2 linked regions of the Rhinolophus ferrumequinum genome follow. The protein of the gene in region 1 interacts with the protein of each later gene in a pairwise test. Links are inferred from orthologs where the notes say so. Each region holds a gene or a part of one and is shown in the gene's direction. Other genes may lie near its edges.

Region 1 (8,104 bases):
CTGGCCCAGTGCAGGGGAGGGGGCCTGAGTGAATGTGGATGGCTGAGAGAGGCAGGTAAACACACCTCTCTGACCCAGTTTATCACCCTCTCACCCCCTCACAGCACAAGGGGGGACATGTGATGGCCTCTCTGAGCACTTGTGCTCTCACGGGGAGCTCCAGGAGGACAGGTACCATATCCATCTCTCGGAACTGTACACCAGGCCCTAGTTCCTGCCCTCCAAGCAGTGACCGCTCAGCCATCGTTGTGGACTCAGAGCCCCCAGGAGTGCTCAGTGCCAGGGCTGAGTCCCTGTGTGAGAGCAGGAGGGCCTGGCCAGAGTCCCAGCGTGACTGCCATGTTGGCTGCCTGCCTGCCTGCCAGGGCATGCACACACGCCACCCAGCTGACCAGCCGCGGGAGCTGACCAGGGCACACAGTCGCTATTATCCGTGCAGCCCACCGCGTGCTCGTGCTGGACGTGCGTGAGCTGATGGCTGAGCGGCAGTGCCCAGGCTGAATCCTGTGCTGGTTCCTGACTCCCACAGCAGGTGGTACTCACGGTTGGTCTGAGAGCGTGTCAGAGGTGGCCCTGGCCACATACGCGATGGGCACGAGCCCCATGCTGGGCTGGCCGGAAAGCCTGCGGGCAAAGATGTAGTCACCCTCCTCCTTGAGGGCATAGAGCCTGTCCCCGCGGGTGACGCTCAGCTCGTCTGTGCACCGCGCAGTGAAGTCGTAGAGCGCCCTGAAGAGCTGCCCAGGCACCGCCGGGGGTGTGCAGGGCTCGGCAGCGGGGGCCTCCAGCTCAGCGTTGGTGTCAGAGTCTGGGAAGCCAGAGACGCTGTCATCCGGCGTGCCTGCGGGCCAGATCTTGTCCCAGAAGAAGGACAAGAAGGACAACCGCTTCCTGAGGAAGGGCTCCATGCTCCCGGGGCGTCCGGAGCCCGGTCACCACACTGCGCCCAGGGCCCTGCAGGGGAGGGGACTTCTGACGAGGGAGAAACTGGAAGGGCCGGTGGGACGGCAAGTGTCAGAGCTTCGCTGAGTGTCAGAGTCCATCACTGCTGGCAAGGGGTGTGGGTGACAGGTACTCCAGAGGGCCCCCTGCTCACTTCTGGGCTGTTCAGACCGGGTTGGGACACAGGGTGGCCCTCCAGCCCCCAGCCACATGTCAGCCGCTGCTCTCCTTGACCTCTAGGGTGTCTTGTGGGCAGGACTTGTCCTGGGCTGCTCAGAGGCACTTGGGGCTGGGGCAGGAGTGGCCCTGGGGCAGCCTGGGGGTGGGGTCTTGGGCGGCTGGGAACGTGGGACAGCCCCCTGCCTCCCCAACATGTACCCCTTCCTCAGGCCTAGGAAGGAGGGGGTGGCTGTCCTGCCAGGCGGCCAGTGTGACAAGGGGAGAAGGGTCATGCACAAGCGCACGCCATGCTAGCCCGTGACCTGAGTCCTGCCCTCAGAGGAGGGGTTCTATGAAGGGGCAGCACCAGCCAGTAGCTGCCTAGCCGTGCACTGGACTTGTGTGGACAGTTACCTGGTTCTTCCAACGTGGGCCAAGTCTTTAACATCATAAACACCCCCGTGCAGGACAGCTGGAGTTTCTTATGGGGTGGGGCTCAGTCAGCACAGAGCGGTGAGGGAGGAGGGGGTAAGTTCAGGGCCACCCTGGGGAGGAGGCTCTGACCTCTGACCGCCCTCAGAGAGATGCGCTGGGTGATGTGGGGGTGGCGGGTGAGTCCACGGAGGGCCTGTACCCACCACTTGCTCCTCTCCCCGGACCGCACCAGGCCCCCTGCACACTGAAGCAAGCTGCCCACTGCCCAGGTCAGCCTGTGCCGCTGGGCAGGGCGGGAGAGCAAACCCAGGCCGCCTGGTCCTGGTTCCGGATCCAGGAGGGGTTCAGGGCGGGTGTCTGGGTGTGTGGGCGGTTCCCAGCCCCAGGTAGCTTGCTCCTCCTCCCCCCACAGCAGCCCCTTCAGCACCGGCGTCATTATTGAGCCCACATCCCTCTTCTGACGACTGCAGACCCTCCTTCCACACCCCACACTCAATCAACGCCCAAACGTTGTCACGTTCTGTGAACGGGCCCGACAGAAGTGACAAGTGTCTATCCACCTGCCCCCGAGAGGCAGCAGACCCTGGTGTCTGGAATGCACCCTGGGGGCCTCCCTGCCACCGTTGGGGGAGCAGCTTGTACAATTTGCAAACTGTGACGTGGCAGCGACAGCCACCCACCATGGGCTGAAGGGGGCAGGGGTCCGAGGGGCAGGCTCCATGCAGCTGAGACTCATCCTGTTGCAGAGGATCAGGGAGCGGGGTCGGGAACAAACATTTACAAACACAGAATTAGGGGAGGCCTGGCAGGGCCTGCAGTGCCCGCCTATCACCTGCCTCCACCCCCCACCTCCCCGTATGAGCAATTTGGGTTTTTACAGATTGCTTTCCTTAAATCCCAGACGTACCTGACTCCTCCTAGGAAGCCCCTGACCCACCGGCCAAAGGGAGGGCCCCACTTATGCTGGCCGCGCTCGAGGTCAGCATTCAGATCCTGGAGATGCCCTGTCCCTCAGAGCCAAGGGGTCTGGCCTCTGGGACTGAGGACATTGCTCTGATGGTCAGAGCAGGCAGGGAGAGTCCTCCTCGGTCTTCTGGCGGGGCCCCCTTAGCCTCACCTCCTCCATGGGCCCTAACCAAACCCAGGGCTGGGAGCTAGCTATGTGAGGGGGAGGGCCCCCGGACAGCTCTGGATGTGGTCGGATGACCAGGTTCGAATCCTGCTGTCAGACTCACTAGCCGCATGGCAAGGTGCTGAGCGCTCTGTGCCTCGATTTCCCCATCTGTGAGAGCACTGAGCTCATAGCCATAGTGAGGACTCAGACCAGGTCTGCAGGGTGAGGAGCGGCCATCCCGGGCATTCAGGCTGAGGTTGGCAGTGTCCCCACACCATGGCTTCATGTGTGTTCTGTGGAGGGCACACGATCGGGTCTCTGGGGTCCAGGTGCACCCCTTGCCCCCAGGGCTATGACCTCACGACCACCAGGCTCACCACCCTCAGGGCGCCGGGTCTGCCAAGGGCAGCAGAGCCCAGTGGCTGCAGACAATGGGCGAGACAAAATCAGCTGGCCCATGCCTGGGAGGAAGGGCCCACTAAGAATGCACGTGGCCGGCCCTCGGGAACTATGCTGAGCAGAGAGGCTGGTCCTGGGGGCTTCACGCTGCACGATGCTACGAAGGCTCTCCAAAGGACACAATTGCAGAGATGGACCAGACGAGCGCTGGCCAGGGGCGGAGGAGCCCCAGGGTTGGGGAGAAAGTAGGCGCGGCTACAAAAGGCCAAGTGGGGGCCCTGTGGGGACAGGGCCGTCTGCCTGTGGACTGTCAGTATCACTACCCTGGTGGGATCCTGCTTGGCAGTTCTGAAGAAATAGGCAACGGGTTCACGGGGGGCCCTGTGTGACGTCTCACAACTGCGTGCCATCTACGATTACCTCAAAATTCAGAGTTTAATTTAAAAAAATTAGCGGATGAACAAGAGAGGAAAAGGGCGTGGGGCCAAAGAGATGTCAGAGGTTCAGGACACGCCTGGCGCCGAGAGGAAGTGAGAGCTGCTGTGGGTGGAGGGGCTGCAGTCATCTTCCTCCCTCTGCTTTGCATTTTCCCCCTTTCAGGTGCCAGACTCCCCCACTCAACCTTCAGACAGCCCCCCCCTTCCAAACAAGCCAACCCTGCCCCTCAGGGCCCCAATGGCGGCAGCAGCTCTCGTTTGCTAAGTTAGGGCCCAGGGCGGGGCGAGGAGGGCAGACACAGCCCCACTGGCTCCCTCCCCAGGCCCGACCTGATGGGTGCCTGGCCAGGGGACGATTCCTCCCAGGATGGGGTCCCCTGGTGGGTGGGGGTGCACTGGGGGCAGCTCTGGCCACAGAAGAGTTTGTGAAGAGAGCTCAGGGACAGACGCCCATCCTGGAGAGGCCACCACTCACCTCCGAAGGGGAGGAGACGGGTGACCAGGGTCAGCCCTGCCACCTCAGTCCTCCCCCGGAGGGCCAGGAGTGCCTGGGGTGTTAGGCTGCCCACGGCCGGTGGCAGACCCTGGCTGGCCCGCAAGGTCCCAGAGGTCCAGAGCCCAGTTGGAAGTGACAAGTGGGGCTCCAGAGGCGGAGAACACCTCTGAGGAGTTCCCTGGAGCTGTGGACACCCCGTTTGTCCAGAGCCGCGTCAGGGGCACTGGCGTGGGCAGGCCGAGGAGAGGAAGGGTGCTCTGGCAGAGGCAGGGCTCCTGATCCTGCTGTCAGTTCACATGGTCACAGTCTCTGGCAGCTCCACCCAGGGGTTCTGGGCAGCGCTGGGCCGGAGGTAGAGCAGGGGCGTCGGCCCCCACCCGAAAGCCTGGCAGAAGGGCTCCGGGCTGGGTCCCCAGCGCAGAGGGGTGGCCGGCCTCAGTTTGCTCCTGTCGGTGGAACCCTACTGCAAACCTGGCTTTCAGACCATGGCGGTGGCTCCCAGGTCGGGCCTCTGGTTGCGACGTCCGGAGTCCCCAGAAAAGGGAGCAGAGTCTATGGACAGTCCCCTCCAAGCTGAGACTCGGTTGAGAGGAGCGGTTCCTTTCGTGGAGGTTCTGGGACCAGAAAGCCCGGCCATGGCCGTCTTTTCGCAGCCCCTCAAGTCTTGGGACCCGACAGGGCGGGTCTTCCCCCCACCCCCGATGCCCTGGGCTTCCTCCCACCTCCTGTCCCCCCAACCCCTCACCCCCACCCTCTGCCCCATCCCCTTTCCGGACCCTCTACGGCGTCACAAAGGCCCGCGGTCCCTATGGCAACCCGCCGGACAGCGCAGTGCGCAGCTGGGCTCCCCGGCTCTGCGCACAGTCAAGCCGCAGGCTCTGCCCGCTCCGGAGGCAGGGCAAGTGGGTGCGCTGGAAGGTGGGGTACGGGCCTGCGGAGGCTGAGGGAAGTGGGGAGGCGGACAGGGGGTGGGGGAGGTGGGAGTCGGTCTCGGGGAGGTGGGCGTGGCGGGTGGGGGGGCGAGGGGTGTGCAGGGGCGTCAGGAAGGCGGGGCCTCTGGGGGGCGGGCCAGGGCGCAGGGTGGTGTCTTCCCATTTTCCACCTGGGAGACTGTTAGCGACTGGAAACATTCTGACCTTAGCCAGATCCAGGAGCAAGAGTTCCTTCCAGAGGCCAGAGCTGGACTTAGGCCGCGAGTCCTGGGGTCCTGGTCTCGCCTGACTCCCCACCCCAGATACCCTCTCTGCTGTGCCCAGGGCCTGGTCTGGCTACCCTTCCCCAGGAAGGTCAAAGGCTGGTCTTTAGGGAGGGAGGCAGACTCCCCGACCTTACTCTGCCACTTGGCGGTGCCTTCTTGGGCACGGCACCCGACCTACGGGCTGTCTCTGTAATCCATCCAAGCCTTGGCTTGCTGGGACAACCTGAGCTCTCCCAAGTGAAGCCGCTGGTCCCTGGGCATGGCGGGGACCTGGGAGAGGAGCCAGGGATGCTGGCTTCTTGTTCAAGGAGCCCCAGCTTGCAGGGCCAGTCCTTGTGGACTGGCAGCTTGCCCCAGCTGGGCCTAGGACCACAGCTGCATCCAGCTGTGACGTGCCCTGAGGTGCACTGGCCCCTCCCACTGACACCCAGAGCTGGGAACCTGGGGGGCAGGGAGGCATGGCCCAGAAGGAGGTTCAGGCTCTGGGGTCAATGGCAGGGCTCAATGCCTGGACTGAGGACAAACTCGAAGCATTTTAGCCTCGTGCCCCATCTGTGAGACGGAGTGACAGGATCTTACAACCTCATGGCCTTTTCCTGTGGAGTCAGTGAGCTCCTGAGGGCACGCGAGGCCCCAGGACGTAGCAGGGGCTGGGTAACTAGGAGCTGGCATCGTGAAGATCCTGAGAGCTGAGGCCTGGGGCCAGCCTGCCGCCCATGCCGGTCCTGGTCACCACGGGACTGCCTGCGGGAAAGCCTGGCTCTGCTCTGTACCTGCGGTGAGGTCTGGAGGGTCTGCAGGCAGTGGTGTCCCCGGGATGAGGGGGTGCCTGGTGCTGCTCAGACAGATCACACTGCTCTCGGGAGCCTGAGCAGCACCATGACCCCATTTCAGATGAGGCACTGAGACCTTTGCCAGGCCACACAGCTGCTCGGCAGCTGCCTGTGTGCCCAAGTCACTGTGGCCTCAGGACTCAGGGCCTCAGCCTTGCCCTGTGTCCTTACAAACAGCCGTCAGTAGTGTTTGCCCCTCCATGCCTACTGTCTCCCAGACTAGCAGACCGCCCTGTCGGCCCTGCAGGCAGCCTGTTCCGGAGAGAGGTGTCCCCATAAGCTCCTCCCCCTGAGAGGGACAGAGGGCCTGGTGTAGGGGGCACACACAAACACTGCCCCGGGGGAGCCGCAAGGGGCAGCAGAGGACAGCCTGCTGGTCCCAGCTGACACCCCACCCTCCACTCCACCCTCCCAGACGATGGATTTCCAGGTGACAGGCCTGGACCTGGACAAGAGGCAGCCGGACAGTCCCCAGCGCTTCCTGGACCAGGAGGAGGCCGAGGAGGCCGAGGACGGGCAGCTGCTGGAGCCGCAGGCATGGAGGACCTACATGGAGCACCGCACGGCGCTGCGGGAGTTCCTGACCTCCCAGCTGAGCCCCCAGCTGCTCAGGCGCCACCATGCCCGCGTGGAGCTGCTCCGAAGGTGCTCCTACCACATTGAGATCCTGCCGAAGCACCTGGCCCTGGGCGACCAGAACCCACCACTGCTGCCCCACACCATCTTCCAGCTGGTCGACCCCTGCAAGTTCCAGCGCATGAAGAAAGTGGGCGCCGCTCAGGCCAGGATTCAGCTGCTGCTGCTCGGAGACCTGCTGGAGCAGCTGGACCGCGGCCGCGCCGCGCTGGATGCCCTGCTCGAGTCGCCTGACCCACGGCCCTTCCTGGCGGGTTGGGCGCTCGTGGAGCAGCGGCTGGCGGGCCTGTCAGCCGTGATGGATAACTTCTTGGCAATGATGGTGCCTGGGCGCCTGCACATCAAACACCGCCTGGTGTCTGATGTCAGTGCCACCAAGCTCCCCCACATCCGGCTTCTGCTGAGCACCAAAATGCCCGTCATGTTCGACCGCAAGGAGTCGGTGGCCCACCAAGACTGGGCCACCCTGCGCTGGTTTGTCACCATCCAGCCGGCGGCCCCAGAGCAGTTTGAACTGCGATTCAAGCTGCTGGACCCACGGACACAGCAGGAGTGCCTGCAGCGTGGCATCGTCCCTGTGGCCACCTGCACCTTCGAGATCCATCACCTGCTTCCCGACCGCGTCTACAAGTTCACGGTCAAGAGAGCTGAGAGCTACACGCTGGTGTATGAGCCCTGGGAGGACAGCCTCACTCTGCACACCAGGCCGGGGACCCCCGAAGGGCTGGCCCCCAGTCTGCTGGGCAAGCCGGGCCACCCCTGACCACAGCTTCCCAGAGATGATTTTCTAATATTTATCCATTAATAAAGAGCAATATAAACACACAATTATAGAAACAAAAGTTCTAAAGGTGGAAGCAGCCACATGACTGCTTTCTGATTTGGTGCAGCCCGCCCACAAGACCCAGGACCCCGTCAGCCCCTGGTCCCTTTTCCAGGGGAGACCCAAGCTGGACCTTCCAGAACAGCTGACCCCTGGAGCAGGCCAGGGGCCAGGGATTCGGGTTTGTGCTGGGTCATACGGGTCCAAGCCAGAGGTCAGGCTGGAATGGGAGTTCGCCAGGGAGGTGCATCCAGGCACACCAGCAGGGCCTTCCTCGTCTTAGTGCCTCCGGTCTGCGGCCCAGTTTCACACCCTCACCCAGAACGGCAGCTGCCCAGAGGCCACCGTGGGGCCACGCAGGTCCCCTTCTAGGAGCAGCTCCGAGGCCCGCTTCCTGATTTGGCCTAGGCTGAGCACTGGGCTGTACCCGCCCCACCCCAGCTCACCTGCCTCACTGTCCTGAGACTCACCTGCCGCTCCAGCGGCCGCCTCTGTGCTCAGCTGCCCTCCTTCAGTCCAGCCCTGCTTCCTACCACCCCATGTGCCTTCTGGGCTTCAACACCCCTTCCTCCAGGAAGCCCTCCCTGACTCCAGGATGATGTGGTACTGACTCTGCCTCAGGCGCCTGCTTC
Region 2 (8,290 bases), on another chromosome or scaffold:
TATTTGTCTACTTTATTCTTTTCAACAGCTGCATAGTACTCTATTCCTTTTTTTTCTTTGTTGGTTTCAGGGTGGCTATTACTTTTTAAAGTACATATCTTTAGGTTTTCTGCTTTTCACTTTTACAAATAAGTTGGAAATGAATACAGCATTGTATATGTGGGCTAACATTATTTTGGAGCAAGTTATGTAATCTCTTTGTGGCTAATATCTATAAAACCTTGAGAGACTTATCAAACTATTTTATTTCATTAAAAATTCTTGCGTATGAGTTTGGCTAAAAAAATGTCCTCTTCTTTCAAACTACCAAAATGTTATGCTCATTAATAAAAGAATCTATTATACGATAAATCCTTGTTTTAGATTTCACTAAATGAATTAAAACGAATTAAGGGAAAACATGTTACTGGTTGGAGACAGGTTCTTGTATTTAATTAGAAAAGTAACATAGGCCCTTAACAGGTACAAAGAACAAAGATCCTCTATTATTCTGCCGCCTAGAAATAAGCATTGGTAACATTTGTACCTATTCAGACTTCCTTTTGATATATACTTTTTTATTTGACAAAAATAGGACATTATATAGACAGTTTTGTAACCTACCTCTTATTTTTTTCTTCTAGCTTTTTTTTTCTCTTATTTTTCTTACCGGTGTTCTGTGAACATCTTTTCATGTGACTTTTTTTTTCTTACAAAAAAGTACATCATCATTTTTAATGGCTTCATAGTCTATCTATAGATGTACCATAATTTATTTATTTACCCAGTGCCTTTATTTATAGGCATTTGGATTGTTTCCAATTTTTTGTAGTTATAAGCAATTTATCAGTGAGTATCTTTATAAATTGTTGGACATCTTTCCTATTATTTTATTAAAATAAATTCTAAGATATAGAATAGCTGGGCAAAGGGGATCTTATTTTAATGACTTTTGTTTTAAATGAAAGCCACACTGTTCCAGAAAAGCTATACAGATTTCGATTCTTGATATGAATAATGCAAATGCCTATTCCTTATACCTTCATCTAGGTTTTATTCTTTTTAAGTCTTTGCCAATTGGCTAGGTTAAAAGGTGGTATATCGTTAGTTTTATTTTAATTTTTTTCTGATTTCGAGTAAGGTAGAGCATCTTTTCGTATAATTATTGACAAATACATGACTAGCTTGTTCATGTCCCGTTACTTTTTAAAAGTTGATTTTTTCTTAATGATTTATAAGAGCTCTTGATATACTTATCATGTAAATCAAACATTAGATATTAAGAATAGTAACCAAGTATATCTAATTAAATATTAAAATGTCATACATGTTACAATTGTTTCTCCATTTCACTGCTGTATTTGTTTTTTAACTTTGTTTTTTGCCATAGGAAGAGCACAATTTGTATGTGTTCAAATTATCAATATTTTCCTTTGTTTCTTTAATTAATATCTTGCTTAGAAATAGAAGCAGAAGTAGGTCCTGTCCCAATACTTAAGTTACTTCTACAGAAGCAATGTGGTGCGGTTGAAAGTAAGCGGATTAAGACCCAAATATACTTGAGTTTGTCTGGTACAGGAAAATTGTGGCACCCAACTTGCATGTTAGGTAACCACCTCAAGGACATTACTCGACTTGACCAATTTCCTCATCTGCAAAATGAGGAAAATAACACCCATTTAAGAGATTGATTTAGGATTAAAGAAGTGTCTGGCAAGGACAAGGCATTCAGCAAGTGTTACTTCTCTTTCCTTCGCACTCAGCGAAAGTGTCCACCTCCCATGACGACTAAAATAAGATTGGGAGGTGTAATTTTTGGTGAGTGTATGTAAATTCAACCATTCTTTCCAAGAGGTTTTAGTAATCCATTAAACTGCAAACCCCATAATGCATGTAAAAGGATCATAAAGTTTCTGTGTATGAAACCTTTGTGGCTTGGGGAAGAGCAAAGAGCCAAGTACTTTTTATTTTCTGCATTTTCCCTCAAGAAACCCTCCCCCCTCACATTCCCTCTCAGCACATATACGTAGCTACTTTTCTTCCTCTTGTAAGGCTAACTTCACAGGTTTTAAAGGGAGACTTCAGTTATAACGCGAAAGGTATCGCAATCAGAGAACTGTAAGTACAAAATTCATTTTAAAAATCGCCCGGGCTGTGTGAGACTGAGACACTGTTGAAATAATTGTCAGCTACTGTAGATTTAATACAAATAAAAAATGATAATTAGCACCATTATATCCAGCAGCCATATTTATCCTTTGAGAATCTGGGCTTAGCTCCCAACGAGCGAGTCTCGATCCCTCAGCTACTGGCCTCCCGTATATATGATTTATGTCCGACACGCTCTCGTATTTGCATACGACGGTGGATCCATTGCTTCAGGCACCCAATTAGCCCGGCGCCAGCACGGCTAGCGCTCCGCCCGCCCAGGGCTGTGTAGAGGCGAGCATGTGATCTCTCATCCGCCCAGGCCCGAGCGCCGTACCTGGCGAGCGGCGCGCGCCGCGGCATCTCGGAGTCAGGGTAGACGCCGCGGCGCGCGCCACTGAGGCCCGCGCGGCTGCCTCCTGGAGCAGCCCTCCCCTCCCGCCCTTCGGGCAACCCCACCATCTCAGGCTGCGGGGCGGCCCGGGGCTGGGGGAGAAGGGAGGGAGGAGGGGCTCCTGTGGGAGCGGCGGGGAATTCCCCCTTCCACCGACCTTTCCCGATTGTTCACCATCCTCACGTCAGCAGCAGGGGGTAATCCCCGACTCCAGCTGCTCCTGACGTCACCGCGCGGAGCCACCGCCCCCCGCGCGCCCTGGCCTCCAGTGCCTCCTCGGAGCCCCGCCTCCATACATAACCCCGCCCTCATTCCCTCCCGCCAGCCGCCCCTACGTAGAGGGTGGAGCTTCTTTGGCCGGGGCGTGAGCGGTTGCCTGGGCCAGAAGGTTCTCTGGTGGAGGCGCTCCTCCTTGCTGCCCCGCCCAGTAGGTTTGTTCGCACCGCTTCTACTAGCACACACCCTTTCTTCCCTCCTTCTTTTCGTCGCCCCCGCCTTTCCTCCCCCTTCTCCTCAACCTCTTTAGTTCCTTCCCCGCTTCGCCATCCACCATCTCGCGAGACTTGGCCCAGAACATTGCGGATCGGGTCGGCGCCATTTTGGGACTGAGACTGGTTGTGGGGGAGGGAAAAGCGGCAAAGGGGGATTATTCAAAGTACCGAAAACCTCCTCTCGGGATCGAGCGCAGCGGCACCCCCAGGCCAGGGGCACTTCTGGTGTGGCAGAAGGTAACATCGTCCTCTGTGCTTCGCGCCGGAGTCTGGGGGAGGAGGGAGGGTGCCCGTGTCGGCGTTGGGGTTTGAGGGGTCTAGAGCGGCGTTGGCGGCGCGAGGTATGGGCTGCCCGCGGATCTGGGGGAGGGAGCGGAGAGCAAGGAGACAGAGGGAAGGACGGCACCGGGAGGCCCCTTTAGGTGTTGCCTCGTTCCGGGGGAGCGGAGGTGGCGGTTGTGGGGAGGAGGTGGGTGGCTTAGCCTTGGCGGCTGGGGGGTGTTTGGCGGAGGCTGGGACGGGTCCGACGCCCTCCGTGTTCGGTCTTCCTCCTACCTCGCGCGCACGCCCCGCCTCCTCTGGCACCACTACCCCTCTCCGAGGGCTGAGGGAATCGAGGCCGAGTTGTGGCCTTGGGTTGTTTCTTCAGTAGCGCGCCCGCTCTCCCCGCCTCTCCCAGGTCCGTGGCACTAGCTGTTTTGAATCGAGTGCTGCTGCCTTGCCCCTCCGAGCCCTGTGGGGTCTTGAGGGGACCTGCTCTGTTTTCGGAGAGAGCCACTCTTAACGTGGTTTACGAGAAAGCTCGGTACCTTCCACCCCCTCAGTGTTGGGAGAAACCTGTTTTCTTAATTGAAAGAAATGGGAGCCGACACCTTTATCCTGCTGCACTCGGAAGCTGGGGAAATCTTACCCTCAGGCAAATTTAAGGAATGTCCCTGCCCCACTTCTCATCCACCTACTTCTGCCCTTCGTGTGGGAAAATGTGCCTCTTTTAGACATCCTAATTTGGAGGGAGCGTCTTACTCTTTATATTCCTCATTCTCTTAAGTTTCATCAGCTAATGTTTGGTGGCACCACACCTGTCTTCATTTTCCTTGGTACATTGAATAGAGACCTTTCATAAGGTTGTGTGCCAGTTTCATAGTTATAATATCTACTCAAAAAGTATAACAAGGTTTGAATGTTTGCTTATATAATCCCCTGTATTTTATCCGCACCCTTTCCCAGTTGAAATTAATACTTGCCTCCCATAACATCCCTCCTCCACCCCCATTCTGAAGTCCTTTTCTTACAGTAGACTTTTTTGGGTCCTGCTTGGGCGTAGCTTTTTTTCAGACCCAAGTAGTAGTATACAGAAGTGAATTTCTCTCCAGAGGTTGACTTTTTAAGATGGGGGTTAATTTTTAGTTCAAAGTTAAAACTCAGTGTGTAATTTGTTTTTGTTTTTTGTTTTTTATAACTTTTACAGGTGATCGAATTACTCAGATATGAAGATCATCTAGGTTTTGTGTAAAAGGCCCGGATATTCAAGTGGCCATTTGGAATTACAATGTTTTGGATAATTTTGCCCCAGAAGTTTATTAAAATTGTCAAGAATCATCTCTGAAGTGAATTCATAGTAGTGACAGTTCTAACAAGCTACTTAAAAAGAAACATAGTCATTTTTAGTATTTTGGTTCAACGGATGATATACCTGGTTTAAAGTGTTCAGCTGGTGGTATTTTTGCCTTTCCCCAACTCCTCCCTCTTGTTAGTGTTCTTCAGCCAAAACTGTAAGATATGTTTGATTTGTGTACTGAGTAGTTTCAGCAGTTTCAAATTACTGTTTAAATATTGCTGAAGTTTCATGGCAATTATTTTTACCTTTATTAAAAGTTTTAGGAATTTTTGACCTCAGCCCTATTCATGTCACAGTGGGGGCAGCTTTTCTAAATGAAGACATTGAAAGAATACAGAGTTTTTTTCCTTTTATCTTTTATTTACGTGGAAATTTAAGATGTTGCAGTTTCCCAGCAGCATGGTAGTATTGAGATAGCTATGTGTCTCGGTATATGCTGATGCTTAGGAATGCTCTTCAGATGTGAAATTTTCTTTTTGTCTTTGCTTTTTGGCTCATAAATTGGATATTTCATCTGGAGTGGATAAGTACAACAGTGACAAGTTCATGAATAATAAAGACGTGATAATCTTAAATCTAAGGAACTTGGCTAATTCTGGAGATAGCCATATGAAACTTTAAACAGAAGTATGGGTAGCTGACTTGAAGTAACTCTATGTCAAATAGTCATAGCTTGAGTATCTTCGAAGAACTTGGATTTTATTTCAGAGGGATACAAAATAAAAAAACAACTGGAAAACATAAAGATAACAGAGAAAAACTCAACACCTTCCTGTGCAGTCCTATTGGAATTTGTAAGTACTATATGGTGAGCAAATCAAATGATCATTTGTAAATGTAATGAGTCAAGTTTATCCTATGTTATTCTTGGAAGCCTTTCAGTTTCTTGCAATAATATTGCTTGGCTTCAGATTCCTGGACAGTCTGAAAACAAGTAAATTTAAATGCAGAAAGTTAAAATTTAAGAACATTGCAGATCAAACAGTTCAAATTTTAAGTTGTTGTGCTCCTAAAGTAAAAAAGTCTATATGGTTCATTATTCATCTTAGGCTTTATGGATTCTTAGATTGGTAGGAAAAACCCAACAAATTATTTAATGTTTGAAACAAATTATAGTGCTTGGTTTTTAATCTGATAATTTCATGAAAGTGGCCGTGTTTTAAGGCATAACTGTTGCTAACATTTTTAATCCATCACAGAAATTAAATTTTTGAAACAATTTGTAGAAGTGGTTTATATTTCAAATTATCCTTAAGATCTCAATTCCAAAAAGCCAAGTCATTACTAGGAACAGAAACAGAGGAACTGAGCAAGATGCATTAACAAGTTTTAGACTAACTTAAAAAATGAGGGTACTTTTTCTCCTAAGAAGTTATGCTGCCTTAAGTTTATAAACAAGCTTTTAAAATAGTGAAATTAATTGCTATATAGAAATCCTTTTGGCAAATGAATTATCTTTTAATAATAATTGTATTTTTCTGGATTGAATGGTATTTTTAATTGCCATTAGTTACTACATTTAGTTTTTCAGTGAATCACAGGCATTCAGTAAAATGTTTTAAAAAAAATTCACTAAAACTTATTTTTAAGGACTTACTGTTGGTAAGAATACATCAACATGGCTAAAATTAGAGTTTATTTAATTACCTGAGATAAAACATAACTTTCGAAACACTTTGCCAAGATGACCTGATAACTTGTCAGTCGTCATTATTTTGAAACAGCCTTTTTTTTGCTATACTGTAGAATCCTCTTTCACTTACTTAGAGCGGAGAAGGTAGTAGAATCCAAAAGAATGTAGTTATTTCGATATGTGTATATAACATTTTTCTGATCTAAAACTGAGATTAGAATGTTCAGTAATTCTGTTAAAATGGTGAGTTGTGTTTTTCTGTCAGAACCTGTGTGTAGTACTTTTAAATTGAGTTTCCACCTTGATTTATATAAAAAATGTGAGGACATTCTCCTCTGCCCCTTGCTTCGGGAGTCTGTATATTACATATTTCTCAATGGCTTTTAAAGTTATTTATCTAAGAATATGCATTTTAAATGTGATAAGAAGTTGAAATGGGAAATGAGTGTCTTTATAGAAAAGAACCACGTAATATTTATTATTTTTGGTTATTTTTCTTTAAATTGCTCGTGTTGATGTTATTACCACAAGCGGTAGTATCAAGATAAAGATGACTCCAGAGACCAGTTTTTAAACAATTAACTTTAATCCTTGAATAGAATATTTGTGAACTTTGCTTACTGCAATTGTTCAAGGACAGATTTACTTGAATGTTCTGATATATATTATTTTCTTGGCTTTGAAATATATAGTACCAGTAGTAATTGGAACAATTGCTGGGCTGCTGCTTTCTCCCCTATAAGTACCTCTCTATTTTTCCTCTTTATCTCCCCTTCTCCCATATTTTTCTCCTGTCCGTAAAACTATAGGTCTAAAAATAATAATCATAATGACTCCATTTATGTGATGATTGTGTCATGTATTTTAATGTGTACTTTACTTGGTATATTTTAAACTTACAATAATCATACGAGGGAAGTACTATTACAGTTACAGTGATATAGGTGAGGAAATTAAGATTTAGCGGAGATTAAGATTGGGAGAAAGTTAATTTTGTTAGGATTAAGGTTAGGTTGGAATCTTGACCAAATCGTCAAGCCCCATACTCTTAATCACTATATCGTGCACTGCTTTGTGGATTTTACTTTATTAACTCATTTTATTTGAACATTATCTCTGATATTTGTGTTTTTTTCATATACGGTTTCTCTTTGGTTAATACTGATTACTAGTGGAACTTGGAGACAAGCTGAAGGATAGAAACTTGTTGGTTTTGCTGTTTGTTAGTAACTATTTGCGTGATATTTGGTTAGGTAAAAATTAAAATGTGTCAGGTTATATATTCAGATCCCATTCACCCAGCACCTCTTCACACAGGTATGAAGCATGTTAGCTTTGTTTTACTTTTTCTGTTTTTGAACTGAAATTAATACACACGAATTTTTGTGCTTAAAGCTGCTGATACTTCAGGAATTGTGGAAGGGGGCATAATCGGGAAATAATAGTAATGGGAAATAATAGGGAAAGAATATGAGTGAACAGAAAGAAAATAAAATTTATAGAGTTACAGAAGGGAATACGGATGGGAGCGCCTAGTCTGAAAGTAAAATTAGCAAATGAGGATAGAACCTAAACCCAGGCCAGATTATTATCTAATTGTGTTTGATCCAACCACCTTTTCTGTTTAATTTTGAATAAAAATGTTTAGGTAAGGGTAGTGATGTAGAAAACAGGTAATGGCTGGGAGTTAGAAAGATTTTTGGTTTAATATTTGGAATATCTAGAAAAGGGCCTAACTTGTTTTGGCCTTAGTTCCTCATAAAAATGATGGAAGTAATGTATTTGAAGGATTTTTGTTAATTGTGAAGTGTAATACAGGTATAAAGTTTTATTCCAGTATTTTAAGATCTTGCTTAATTTTACATGTCAAAGCAGAATTTATCATAGTCTCTGAAATTTCTTCTATCGCTTGTTTCTGTTAATGGCATTACCTGAAATACCATTCATGCCATGCTTCCCCATTTCATTTATTATTCTAGCTTGGTCCTTGACTGAGGGAATAGTAACCTATTAACTCATCTTTTGGC

What was found. The genes of interacting proteins can lie anywhere in the genome.
Region 2: the proteins of FNDC11 (region 1) and GPBP1 interact in binary tests that used the Homo sapiens proteins (3 or more experiments, as listed by UniProt). The link is inferred for Rhinolophus ferrumequinum from reciprocal best matches to the Homo sapiens genes FNDC11 and GPBP1.

What each region holds. Positions count from the first base shown.
Region 1 is NC_046306.1:485,187-493,290, reverse strand, and holds FNDC11 (fibronectin type III domain-containing protein 11), read left to right. Parts: upstream 1-4,839; 5' UTR 4,840-4,900; intron 4,901-6,428; 5' UTR 6,429-6,431; coding exon 6,432-7,412; 3' UTR 7,413-7,628; downstream 7,629-8,104. Other genes in the region: tyrosine-protein kinase Srms, read right to left, coding at 544-908.
Region 2 is NC_046290.1:35,787,109-35,795,398, forward strand, and holds the start of GPBP1 (vasculin), read left to right. Parts: upstream 1-4,777; 5' UTR 4,778-5,438; intron 5,439-8,290. UniProt on the Homo sapiens protein: Functions as a GC-rich promoter-specific transactivating transcription factor.